3 linked regions of the Drosophila melanogaster genome follow. The protein of the gene in region 1 purifies or fractionates together with the protein of each later gene. This does not show direct contact. Each region holds a gene or a part of one and is shown in the gene's direction. Other genes may lie near its edges.

Region 1 (3,600 bases):
CAATAGCAGCCACCTCCTGCTCCTCGGGCCAAGCAGTCTTGTCGAAGTGGTGGTCGCTGATCTGCGGGAACGTGTTCTCGTACATGTTTTGGATGTCGTACAAGTTGCCCTCTTTGATCGCCTGGCAGAAGTTTATGAGGAAGTACTTGACGTTGTCCGGCATCCGGGCGGCGTAGTAGTTCCTCTCGTACTCCATGTCCAGTTGCGGGTCTCCGGTATGAGCGTAGTCATCGTAGTAATCCTGTAATATGTAAAAAACCCAATGACTTTTTGGAAGCAGAATTGCAGGAAATACTGATCTACGACTCTCTGCATAAATGAGCTATTAAATAGAGTTAATCGCTTAAAGTGGATCGATTTTATAAATTAACAGCTTGCCTAGACTATTGAAGACTTTCGACTTTGTAAATAGGAATTCGAGAGACTATGCTACAACTGTTCCGAGTTTAATCCCGACCATTTAGCTAAGCGAGCTGTAGCTAACAAAACGAGCGCATTCCTACGATTACGAAGTGGATGAACCTTAGAGGGGTACTTCTTTCCACGGCATCTCTAAGGAGTAAGCTAGAATATATTCATGTGTTCTTTAAAGGTGTGTACACACCATCTAAAATTGCACGCAAATCAAAAATGTAGAAGGTATTATGACTTATTAATAATGTACACCGATACCAATAATATACCACATGGCGCCGGGGTGTCCCCCGGACTACAGGATTCGTTTCCAAATAGCAAAGGAACGTGTCAAAGGAGTGGCCCACGGATTATCAGTGCTTAATGACCTATGATGATCTAAACACCAACTATGCCAAGTCGTAAAACGGCTTTAAAATCATCCCAGTGAGTTTTGTATTTGTGCGAGGGCAACAAAAGATGGGTTATGTTGTCGGCGGAGTCCGGGGATTGGTTTCCCGAGAATGAATCATTCCTCGCTGGCTGCACTCACCGAGTTGGTTGCGTATTCGTCTCCACCGTACATTGTCGCTGTTTTATCCTCTCCGGGTTACACACAAAACGAAAAAACCGATCAAATGCTTAGGAAATTGACAACACGCCAACAAATTTTTGGCGAAAAGAGGGATAAACAGTGTGACCAACTATCGATAATGATACTACTACGACTATCGATGTTTTACGCCCCTATCGATTTGGTATTCGAAATAATTTTTTGTAAAATATGTATTTTATTTCAAATTTCTGGATAGATAAGAAAACTAGATTTTTAAAAAATATTTTAGAGGGGATTTGACTTATTTGCCATTACATTTGTATACTTTGCTTATATCATTCATTTTGCAATGATATTACATGGCTTTAAAACTATGCAAAAAAATTTCTATCACGAATTAATATAAATGTTAACGGAAAGCTATTATTAGTGACCAAATTTAATTTCATAGTAGCAGTTGAAATAATTTGTAAATACTTCATATACTTAATCACACGATAGCTTAGCTCACGCGACAAGCACCCAGTTGGTGACTCCCTCGGTATCTTGCCACGTTTGAGTCACGGTCACACTGGCAGCGAGACATTCTGTTCGTGTGTCATCCGCGTTGCGATAATTATTTTCTTAATTCAAACGAAACTCTTCCGAAGTGGGCGTGATCTGCTGGAGCCGTACACCCAGTGGATAAATTACATAAATTCAAAATCGATTTAAAGCGGAGCGTAAAGTGCAGTCCAACGTTTTTAACACCGCGGACGCGTTGCCACAAATCATCAGCTTTTCACGGTGGTTTTTCCAGCGGAAAAGTGCATTTTGGTGTTAAACTTCTTCGGAAATCGAATATAGATGTGTTTATAAATCTACCAAGCGATAGTGTTTAATTAACAGCCTCCAAGATGAGGCCGCCCAGGAGCAATACGAAAGCAGCATTTTCCTCGCTTCAGTTTGGATTGTTATGCCTCCTATTGCTGGTCAATAATGGCATTAAATCGGTGCAAGCAGGTAAAAACCAGTGATACCCATTGACTAACCCAGGAATTCAGATCCTTTCGGCTCGATTTTCCCAGCAATATGTGACATAAAACGTCGATTGTTTGTAAGCCAACTTTTTGGGCGTGTTCCCCAAAGCTGAAGACTCGCTCTTCCATTTTCCTTTGGCCCGTTGTTCGCTTTTTAACTCGCTCTTAGCGATCGCGAGAGTTTTGGTGAGAACGGGAGAGCGATCAAACGGTTGCTTACGAATAGCGGTGGCAAAACAAAAATGCCGCTTAACAACGCCCGTTTTTACTCGTTCGTTTTGAGCAAAGGCATTGGGGTTTTAGATTCTTGATTTCCGGACTTTTATGAAGCTTCCCGGGGGAGCAATTCGAAAATTTTGCCGGTTGCATCCCCAGTTGTGCTTGCCTTCTTTTCCGGCTTTTCAAATGCGCATGCGGCAAATAAGAAGCATCTGCTGATTGATGATGCTGTGTGAAACAGGTGATTTTATCATTATCCTTCCATATGTCAACAGACTTAAGCGCTTTTCCCCACAAATTTCCACATATCTTGAAAAATAAACAATCTATCGATGATATGCAAACATTTTTATGACTAAAAATAAACAATGCCGCGCAATTAATTTGCCTTGAAGCGTCGAAAGCAGACAGCCGACATATATCCTCCCAGACTTTGGTCGATTTCCATAATTTATTTCGGTTCTTATTGCCTCGAAAATAGCATCATTCGCACTTCGAGTTTCCCCCAGATGGACGGAAATGGCCTTTCAGACCTCGTCATATTTGTTTCATTTAGAACATTAGCCAAATTCTATGTATTTCGTTTTCTTTCTAATCACCATTGGGCAATTATGTAGCAAAAAGTAGTTCAAACTGGCTATATATGTATGTACATATGTTCCTGTGTTATTTACCAGAAGATTGTCATGCGTGTTTCCTCGGTTTCCTTTCGAGCTTATCAGGTTGATTTGTACCACTCCACCCAAGACTCAAAGTCAGCTTAAAGTGCCCACGAACTCCGAATGACCTCGCAAGGGTTGTTTTCCCCCACTCCGCTAAGAAAATGCCAGTGTGCTGTTTGCCTAGGAGGAGCTACTGCTGCACCCATTGTAAACAATTTCTTGGGGGTTGCGGCAGACAGGGGCAACTGTCTGGATTTCCGACACGACCTGGCCCCCACATCCGCATGCTTTTGTCACGGATCCTAGGGGCTAAAAGACTCTCGTCAACGGAAAATATTATGGTGCAAATATGAGACAAGAATCTGCCTCTTAAAACAGTGGAACCATCTTAATAAGAAATATTTCTAACTAGTACCTAGTACTCTTAATACATGTTTAAGAGTAAAATATTCTAAATAAAGCAACTAATTACATCAGTTTATGTCCAATTTAATGCTGATTGTCTTAATTCATAGGAATTTTCCTTGGACTTCATGTGAAATTTAAAGATTCAATTGTATAGATTCTATTTATATGATATTTATTCATTACAAGCAAATTCAATATATCTTGTACGACTTAAATTACCCGGAAAACAGAGAACTAAGAACTCTTAAAATAAATAGCAAATATTTACTCCTCAGTCAATTTGTTTACTTCTTGCTGCCTTATAGATGTGGCTTTCTTTATGGGCCCATAAAAAGGAGGCCAA
Region 2 (3,835 bases), on another chromosome or scaffold:
TTGTCGGGAGAAACTTGTTTACCAGCGATAAGGGGACTCAGTTAGGTTCAAAGCATCGGACTGATAAGAGCTGCTTTCATGGGCGGGACGGAAAACATAGTTTACGAAACGTTTAATTCCGCTTTGAGAACGATTTCTTTTCGCAGATACATATTTTACTGATTACGTACGTTCCTTGCAGGCAATCATGAGCCCTCTCCCACGAGTCAACATCGACGAGCCGAAATATGATCAGAACTCCTACTTGGGCAGAGCCAAGCACTTCTTCCTGCTGACCAACCCGCTTAATGTGCTGGCCTCCGCCTCGAAGTTGGAGGAGGCCCGCCAGATTGTGATAAAGTACCGGGCTGGTAAGAAAGAAGAGTAGGTAACCAAATTAGATCACTAATCTTATTCGCACTTCAAGGCAAGGATGTTCCCGAGTGCAAGACCATCGACGACGTGTGGCGCGCTAAGTACCTGTACGATTCGGCGTTCCATCCAGAGACCGGGGAGAAGCAGATAGTCATCGGGCGCATGGCTGCGCAGATGCCCATGAACACAATCATCACCGGCGGTGCGTATTAGCGACTTTTTCGGTGCTCAATTGACGTCAAATAAACTATGTGCTTCCGCACTGCTGATTAATCGACTACAATAATAGCTAAATCACATTCCAGGCATGATGGCCTTCTACAAAAGCACTCCCGCCGTCGTCTTCTGGCAGTGGTTCAATCAGACATTCAACGCCATTGTTAACTACACGAACCGTTCGGGAACCTCGCCCATCAGCCAGCAGTAGGTACCTCCTTCCAGCCGCAGTCCCCGACACTAACTTCACCGATTTCGTCCCCTGTTCAGGCAACTAGTTACCTCGTACTGTTTGGCCACTAGCGGAGCCCTGGTCACGGCCCTTTCCCTGAACCACGCAGTGAAGAACATGAATCCGCTCTTGGGTCGCCTTGTCCCCCTAGTGGCAGTTGGAGCTGCCAACTGCATCAACATCCCCTGCATGCGAATGCAGTAAGTTAAATTTGTATTAAAGAAGCTCTTTCCTCTATACATTTTGTTTTTAGTAAAATTATGAAATAGGCCTGATTCGATTAGAGCAGCTCTGCTACAATTTTAGAGAGATAATTTTACCAGCATTTTATTAATTTATTCATATTTTATTAAAGCTGTTTACCGAATTTACGCTACTTCGGCCGTTCGTAAAACAGTGAATTAATTATGTATATAATATTCCTCTTTTACAGAGAGCTGCGCAACGGAGTGACGCTTTTCGATGAACACAGCAACGAAATGGGCATCTCAAAGAAGGCGGCCGTTGTTGGGATCTCAACCGTAATCCTAAGTCGAATCGCCATGGCCATACCGGGAATGAGTACGTCTCCTGGACATCCTTGCGCACAAAAGTGTAACAACTTACGATACTTACGCTATTCTCAATTTCAGCACTGACACCGGTGTTGATGAATGTCCTCGAAAAGAGGGGATTCCTGGCTAAATACCCGCGATCCAACGCTCCCATCCAAACGCTCTTCTGCGGCTTCGTGCTGATTTTCGCCACGCCCCTTGGCTGCGCCTTCTTCAAGCAGCGAGCGGACATCAAAGTGGATAGCCTGGAGTCGGAGGTCCGCGACAGCATTAGGAAGAAGCGTCCGGAATTGGAAACTGTCTGGTTCAACAAGGGACTGTGAGGCCCTATGCCATTTACGAGCTTAACGGAGACAATACTGCTCGATTGAGCAACTATTTATTTCCCTTCTTGCATTTATTGGCATTTTGCCTGTTGACTTCTGTTCGAAATACTCCTGATATTAGCCTGACCGCATATGCTTACCGTTCACAGCAAGCGACACGTCAGTGAATCAAATTTACAGTGTATATTATAGTGATTGTGTAAAAGTGAAAATGTATGAAACAAAAATATATCTGTTAACTGTTATCTGAACTCAGTTTCAAATGGCCCGCGCACACTATTTATTCGAATGGCGATTACAGCGGGATATCGACTATGCATATCGATGCCTCTATCGCACCATCGATGGCAGCGTAGCCCACAGTCGTGGCTTGCGCATATCTAATTGCTGGTCGACTCAGCTTCTGGACTGTTTTGTTTTTATTTAATTAAACTATAATTTAAAAAGCTGTAAATTGCCTCTGATACTTATTTTGTCCGGATCCGCACAACTCGTGGTTTTTTTTTTTGTCAGCAGGAACACCTCGCAGTGGTAGCGTTTTCAACCGTTCGTGTGCTGCGTCCTGGAGTCGTAATTAAGGTGTGGTTAAGTGTTTGCCTATGCGACCAATTAGTTTTGCCAGCACGGGCTACTTGGATTGAGCCCCCTTCTTTAGTCAGTTAAAACTGTCCTTGTTCAATAGGAAACACAACTAAAGTGTGCTTGAATAATCTAAAAAGTCAGTTGATCGAAGATCAATCGCGGCTTACGACCACGCCTAATCACATATACACACACACATACACATATGTACATTTGTATATACGCGTGCTGACACATCGTATCACAAATTTGAATGACCTGCGATCGACAAATCTGTTTACATTCAATTTGTTTATGCCATAAGAGGGGCAAAATAAACAAGAACATTCTTTCGTTCTGCTTTCAGAAACTATCGAATTCCAGAGCAAAATGTGCCTTTAGTCTGCTGCGAGACATCTAAACCAGAACCCACGCTATTAAAGCTAAGGACCAACTATGCTAGCAAAAATCGGCCTTCTGGCGAGTATTCTTGTGCTCAACTTAGTTGGCCAGATCACGCCCCAATTTTCCGAAAACCTGCCGGATCCGGATCCGCAGTCGGGACAGCAGCCTCAGAACTATCAGCCTAGCTACAACAAGGATTACTCTCCGCGATACAACCCCCTGTATACTGGACAGCAAAGCGCTGACCCCAACCAGTTCGACAATACGCTGGTCGACGGACAGAGCCCTAATACCTACAAGGGGTACTATGATGGCAGGGCAGGAGGTGGGGGCCTTGGCGGCAATGTAGTCGGGCCTGGAAACAACCTCGGCGGACTCGGCCCACAGTACGACCCCTTTAATCGGAACAGCATAGGTTCAGCAGGTGTCAGCTACCGGGACGCCTATACGGATGAAGATAACTTTTGCCCGGAGCACTGGGTCTCGTTCAGACAGACGTGCTATCGCTTCATCCGCTCGCCCAAGCGCAACTGGGCAGAGGCTAAAAAGATCTGCAAGGCACACAATGCCGACCTGATAAACGTGGATAATGTAGAGAAGCACTCGTTTATACTCAAGAATCTCATCCTGCAGAATCAACGGCAGAACCGATTCTTCATCTCCGCCCGGCAAACGGGCCCGTTGAATTGGGTCAACGATGACAACACCCAGTTAGTCCAGATCGAAGACTCCTTTTCCATGGACGAGCAAGTGCCCTTGGAAAACGAAGATCTGCACGACAATAGATTCCTTGTGCAAAACGACCTCAACAACCAAAATATCAATAATCCAAATCAGTTTTACAACTCTCTTCCGGGGACTGTTAATCAGCGCAATCAAAATAACCTTCGCGGCTTTATAGGCAAGTTTCACTATTTAAAATTGTCGATTTGCTAAACATCGTTTCCTTACAGGTCCCAACCAGCCGTATGGAGACAACCGATATGTGCGCGATCGCGTTGTGTACGCCTTCTCAAAGAAAAGGGATCGGTGGATGTTCATGCCAGCCTATGAAATTGAACTAAATCTCTTTATATGCGAGTCAAAAGTACTATACAGCTCAGACAATGTCAACATAAAGTTAGACGACAAGCGTCCCTACCATTATGGACTCGATATAAACGACATGGAACGGATTCCACGGGGTC
Region 3 (3,835 bases), on another chromosome or scaffold:
TCACTGCATGACTTTGACATTGACCTAGATGTTCCGCTACCAGGTATGTAACTAACGTATTCTGCAGTTGAGCAATGGGCATAACCATTTTCTTTTTTAGTCAATACGAATTCAGTGCCCAAGCCGGCTAGCAAACCAGCTGAAACAGTCTCCAAACGTTCGCTGAATCTAGAGGATTACAAAAAAAAGCGCGGTCTTATCTAGAAAAGGATGCCGCTGGTCATACATATACTGACAAAGCGTCGCATGTTTACGTCCTAGTTTAGTGTAGTGCCCAAATGAAATGAATACAGCGATCGTTTGCTTCAACGACTCAACCAACTTAAAGAGCAACAAAAAAAACGACGGGCAATCAGCTCGGCTTATAGTTACAGTTCATATATATATATAATAAGGTTGACACAGAAAGTTTTAGATAGGTCGGGCGAATTGAATATCCCAATCGAGGATACTTTCTCTGTTTGTGTTTGTTTTGTTTCACTATTATGATATAATTTTTAGAAAAATTATGCAAGCAACACTTAAGAATCAACAGTAATTTCGAACATTTGGAATGCCTATGCAGATAACGAACTTATTTAAGTATATATTGTGAAATTTTTAAAGTTTTAAGCTAAAAATGTTATAACGAAAAGAGTAAAACCCCATCCAGCCTAATCATTTCCAACGATTTGTTCCATAAATTAACAACTAACATAATTAATACGGAATTAGTTTTCAGCGAAGACTTAATCGTTTACTCAGGCAAATGGCAAATTTGAAGGATATTCCATGGACAAATATGAAGAGGATTATTGAAAGGGTTATATAAGACTCATTCAAGCGAGTATGTATCCGTTGGTTGTAACCGTTCAATGCTGTATTAGATTAAGGCAAAATTCATCAGTTGTAGCAACAGCTTTCATATACTTAAATATACATATATAAATATTATTTATAATAAAGAAAAAGACTTAAATAATGTTATTGATCTAGTGTTGGGATACTGTATAGGATTTGTTATCTTGTATACTTGGCGCCTATTCCCACATAAGCACCAATGAAAAGTAAACTTATGGTCACCATTCTGGACTGTTGGACAGTTGGCTCCTCTTAATTGGTTTGCAGTCTGTTTGCGCAGCTGGCTGACTCCTTTCATGTTCTCACCAAATTAATTCAATTAATTCGATGAAATTGTCTTTTAATTGAACACAATCGCGTTTCGTCAGAGGGAAAAACGTTTTTCAAGATCTGCAAATATATAAAGAGACTTTAACGGTCAATATTTGAAAGGCATATTCGAGCTAACTCCGCTGCAATCGATCGAAATACATGCTAAATAGGATGCTAATTTGAAATAAACTTGAATTGATCGCTATATAATGCACTTCCGCTCGAATATTTTCCAAGTTGTTTCGTTCTGTCTTTTTGGGAACCTCGCCGTGCCGAACATATTGTTTCCAAATGGTGAATGTGACTGATCCGATCACAATGATGACGACTGGGATGGGGGCACCATTGTGGCACAATGACATTTTATCTCGGAATATGCAACAGCAGCACGTTCTCTGAAGCGGAGAGTGTAATAGATCAGCGACGGAATCTCGATTCTGAATCCGAAAACTACCGATGCGTGGCCCATGCAAATGTTCTTGCAGCGACATCGGTGTGGGTGCATCCCAAAGCCACTTACACACACACATCTCCCATCAATGCACAGCGAAAAATGGTATCAATACGTAAAATCTCCGATATAGCCAGCTACTCAACCCGCCTATAGAGCTTGCTATCATCCATTAACAAGTTAGTTCGAGCAGGGAAAGTATGTGTTATAGAAATTCAACTTGAACCATATCTTACAGCATCGTATAGTGATTTCTAGTAGTGCTCCCGCTTTTTCTTTCTGTGTACCCATGTGGGAGAATCTCCTTGGCGGCGACTAATCAACCGGCATCGGCATGCCTTATACACAAGTGCTGGGTGCTGTCCAGCGTCAGCGGCTTCTTCATCGTCGCCCCGGACTCGGGCATCTTCCATTGTCCGCCCCTCGGGGCTCCACTGTACATGTGCGTGTGTGTGTGGTGGTGCAGTGTGTGCGGCTCAGGGGACGCCAACTGTGGCTTCAGCTCAAGCGATCAGTTCAAAGTTGACTTTGTCGCGGACCAGAGCGGACCGTTCTAATTCCGACACGCGACCGTGAATTATAGAATTACCAAATCACAGTGTAATTTAATTTAAAGAAATATAGCTAATATAAACTAAGCGAAAATAAAATGACGCCCCATATGTGCTCAGTGGTGAGGTGTTTGCTTGCGGCCCTAATCCTTGGCCAAGTGCAAGCCGAGCTGGATTTTAACAACGATCTCGAAAACAGTCAAAAGTTCAAGAGCATACCAACCACAGTGAAAACCTATGAGAACGATACAGTGCAGCTTCCGTGCACCTTAAACAGTAAGTGATTAACTAAATGCGGTACTAATCTCAGTGCACATTGTGGGTATTTCTGGCGATTAGCCCCGCTTTTTGGGGCCTTGAGTCGGCCACCAGCAGCAATTGGCCATAACAATGAGATTTAATTCGATTGAAGAAATGAACTCACAATGCCACAAATGGAGGTATTATCCGACAATAATAGAGTTACGGCGGAGAAAGTCCAGAAGCGGATTCTATTAATTGAACGCTTAACACACTTAGCGGCGCATTCAAGTCGCCGTGCAAGACCCTCCCGAGACATATTGTTAAATGGCCAATTAAAGGATTATTGACATAAGCAATTACACTTCCAAAGGGTTACAAGATTACACAAACTTACAAATTAGCGTGTGTGCGGGAAGCCCTACGAACAGAGTCGTCCAAATCCACCCCATGAAGAAATATTTAACTAAGCCTTTCAGTTTGGCATGCCAATATATGTAGGTTATTTACAATAGTTCTGGTATAGAAGTTATTAGTTACATTTTAAAGTAATATAGTATGGTATAAATAATCCGGGATTGATAAAGTATATTTCTGTTTTTAAAACAATAACATTTTGAATAGATCTGCTTAGTGTATAGAAATTTTCGTTAGCTAAAACAACGTATACTTTTTATTGTTCATATATCGATGATCAATGCAAACAATTTGGGCTTCGAGCGGATGCTTTTGTTTATTCTTATTTATCTTGGCAGTGAGATAAGCGCCAGATAACTGTTAAGATTCGAGATACAATTCTGCTGAATTCTGTTTCGTTCTTTTAAATATTTGGTAGATAAAAATGGAATTCGCGAAAACATAAAAATAAAACACATAAGTTCATCAAATTTATTACCTCACATACCCAGCTCCCTTCCGCTACGTCCGTTGGCATCGGGACGATGTGGCTCTGGTGGACTCCAGACACCCGGAGCTCCCGCCGCCGGATCGCATAATGCTCTGGCCGAATGGCAGCCTGCAGGTGGCCAACGTGCAGTCCAGTGACACCGGGGACTACTACTGCGAAATGAACTCGGATTCGGGTCATGTGGTCCAGCAGCACGCCATCGAAGTGCAATTGGCTCCACAGGTGTTGATTGAACCATCGGATCTCACGGAGCAGCGGATAGGTGCAATCTTCGAGGTGGTGTGCGAGGCCCAGGGAGTGCCCCAACCGGTCATCACCTGGCGGTTGAACGGCAATGTCATCCAGCCACAGAGCAACACGGGGAATCGGCAAAGCCTCATCCTGGAGATCAAATCGAGGAACCAGGCGGGCCTCATAGAATGCGTGGCCAGCAATGGAGTGGGTGAGCCAGCGGTGGCCAATGTCTATCTCCATGTGCTATGTGAGTAATTAAGCTTCAAGTCAACTTGAGCAATTAACTTTAACTTACTGACC

What was found.
Region 2: the proteins of Nrx-IV (region 1) and Cont purify together in Drosophila melanogaster (affinity purification with western blotting; 4 studies listed by BioGRID). This does not show direct contact.
Region 3: the proteins of Nrx-IV (region 1) and wrapper purify together in Drosophila melanogaster (affinity purification with western blotting; 2 studies listed by BioGRID). This does not show direct contact.

What each region holds. Positions count from the first base shown.
Region 1 is NT_037436.4:12,145,010-12,148,609, forward strand, and holds the start of Nrx-IV (neurexin IV), read left to right. Parts: upstream 1-1,509; 5' UTR 1,510-1,845; coding exon 1,846-1,951; intron 1,952-3,600. Other genes in the region: eIF3l (eukaryotic translation initiation factor 3 subunit l), read right to left, coding at 1-241, 947-979. UniProt on the Drosophila melanogaster protein: Seems to play a role in the formation and function of septate junctions.
Region 2 is NT_033777.3:4,379,269-4,383,103, forward strand, and holds the start of Cont (contactin), read left to right. Parts: upstream 1-2,037; 5' UTR 2,038-2,261; intron 2,262-2,610; 5' UTR 2,611-2,699; coding exon 2,700-3,549; intron 3,550-3,601; coding exon 3,602-3,835. Other genes in the region: Sfxn1-3 (sideroflexin 1/3), read left to right, coding at 188-350, 407-556, 660-777, 841-1,002, 1,236-1,363, 1,435-1,679. UniProt on the Drosophila melanogaster protein: Required for organization of septate junctions and paracellular barrier functions.
Region 3 is NT_033778.4:22,377,550-22,381,384, forward strand, and holds the start of wrapper (wrapper), read left to right. Parts: upstream 1-2,087; 5' UTR 2,088-2,252; coding exon 2,253-2,430; intron 2,431-3,302; coding exon 3,303-3,782; intron 3,783-3,835. Other genes in the region: Rtf1, read left to right, coding at 1-43, 101-204.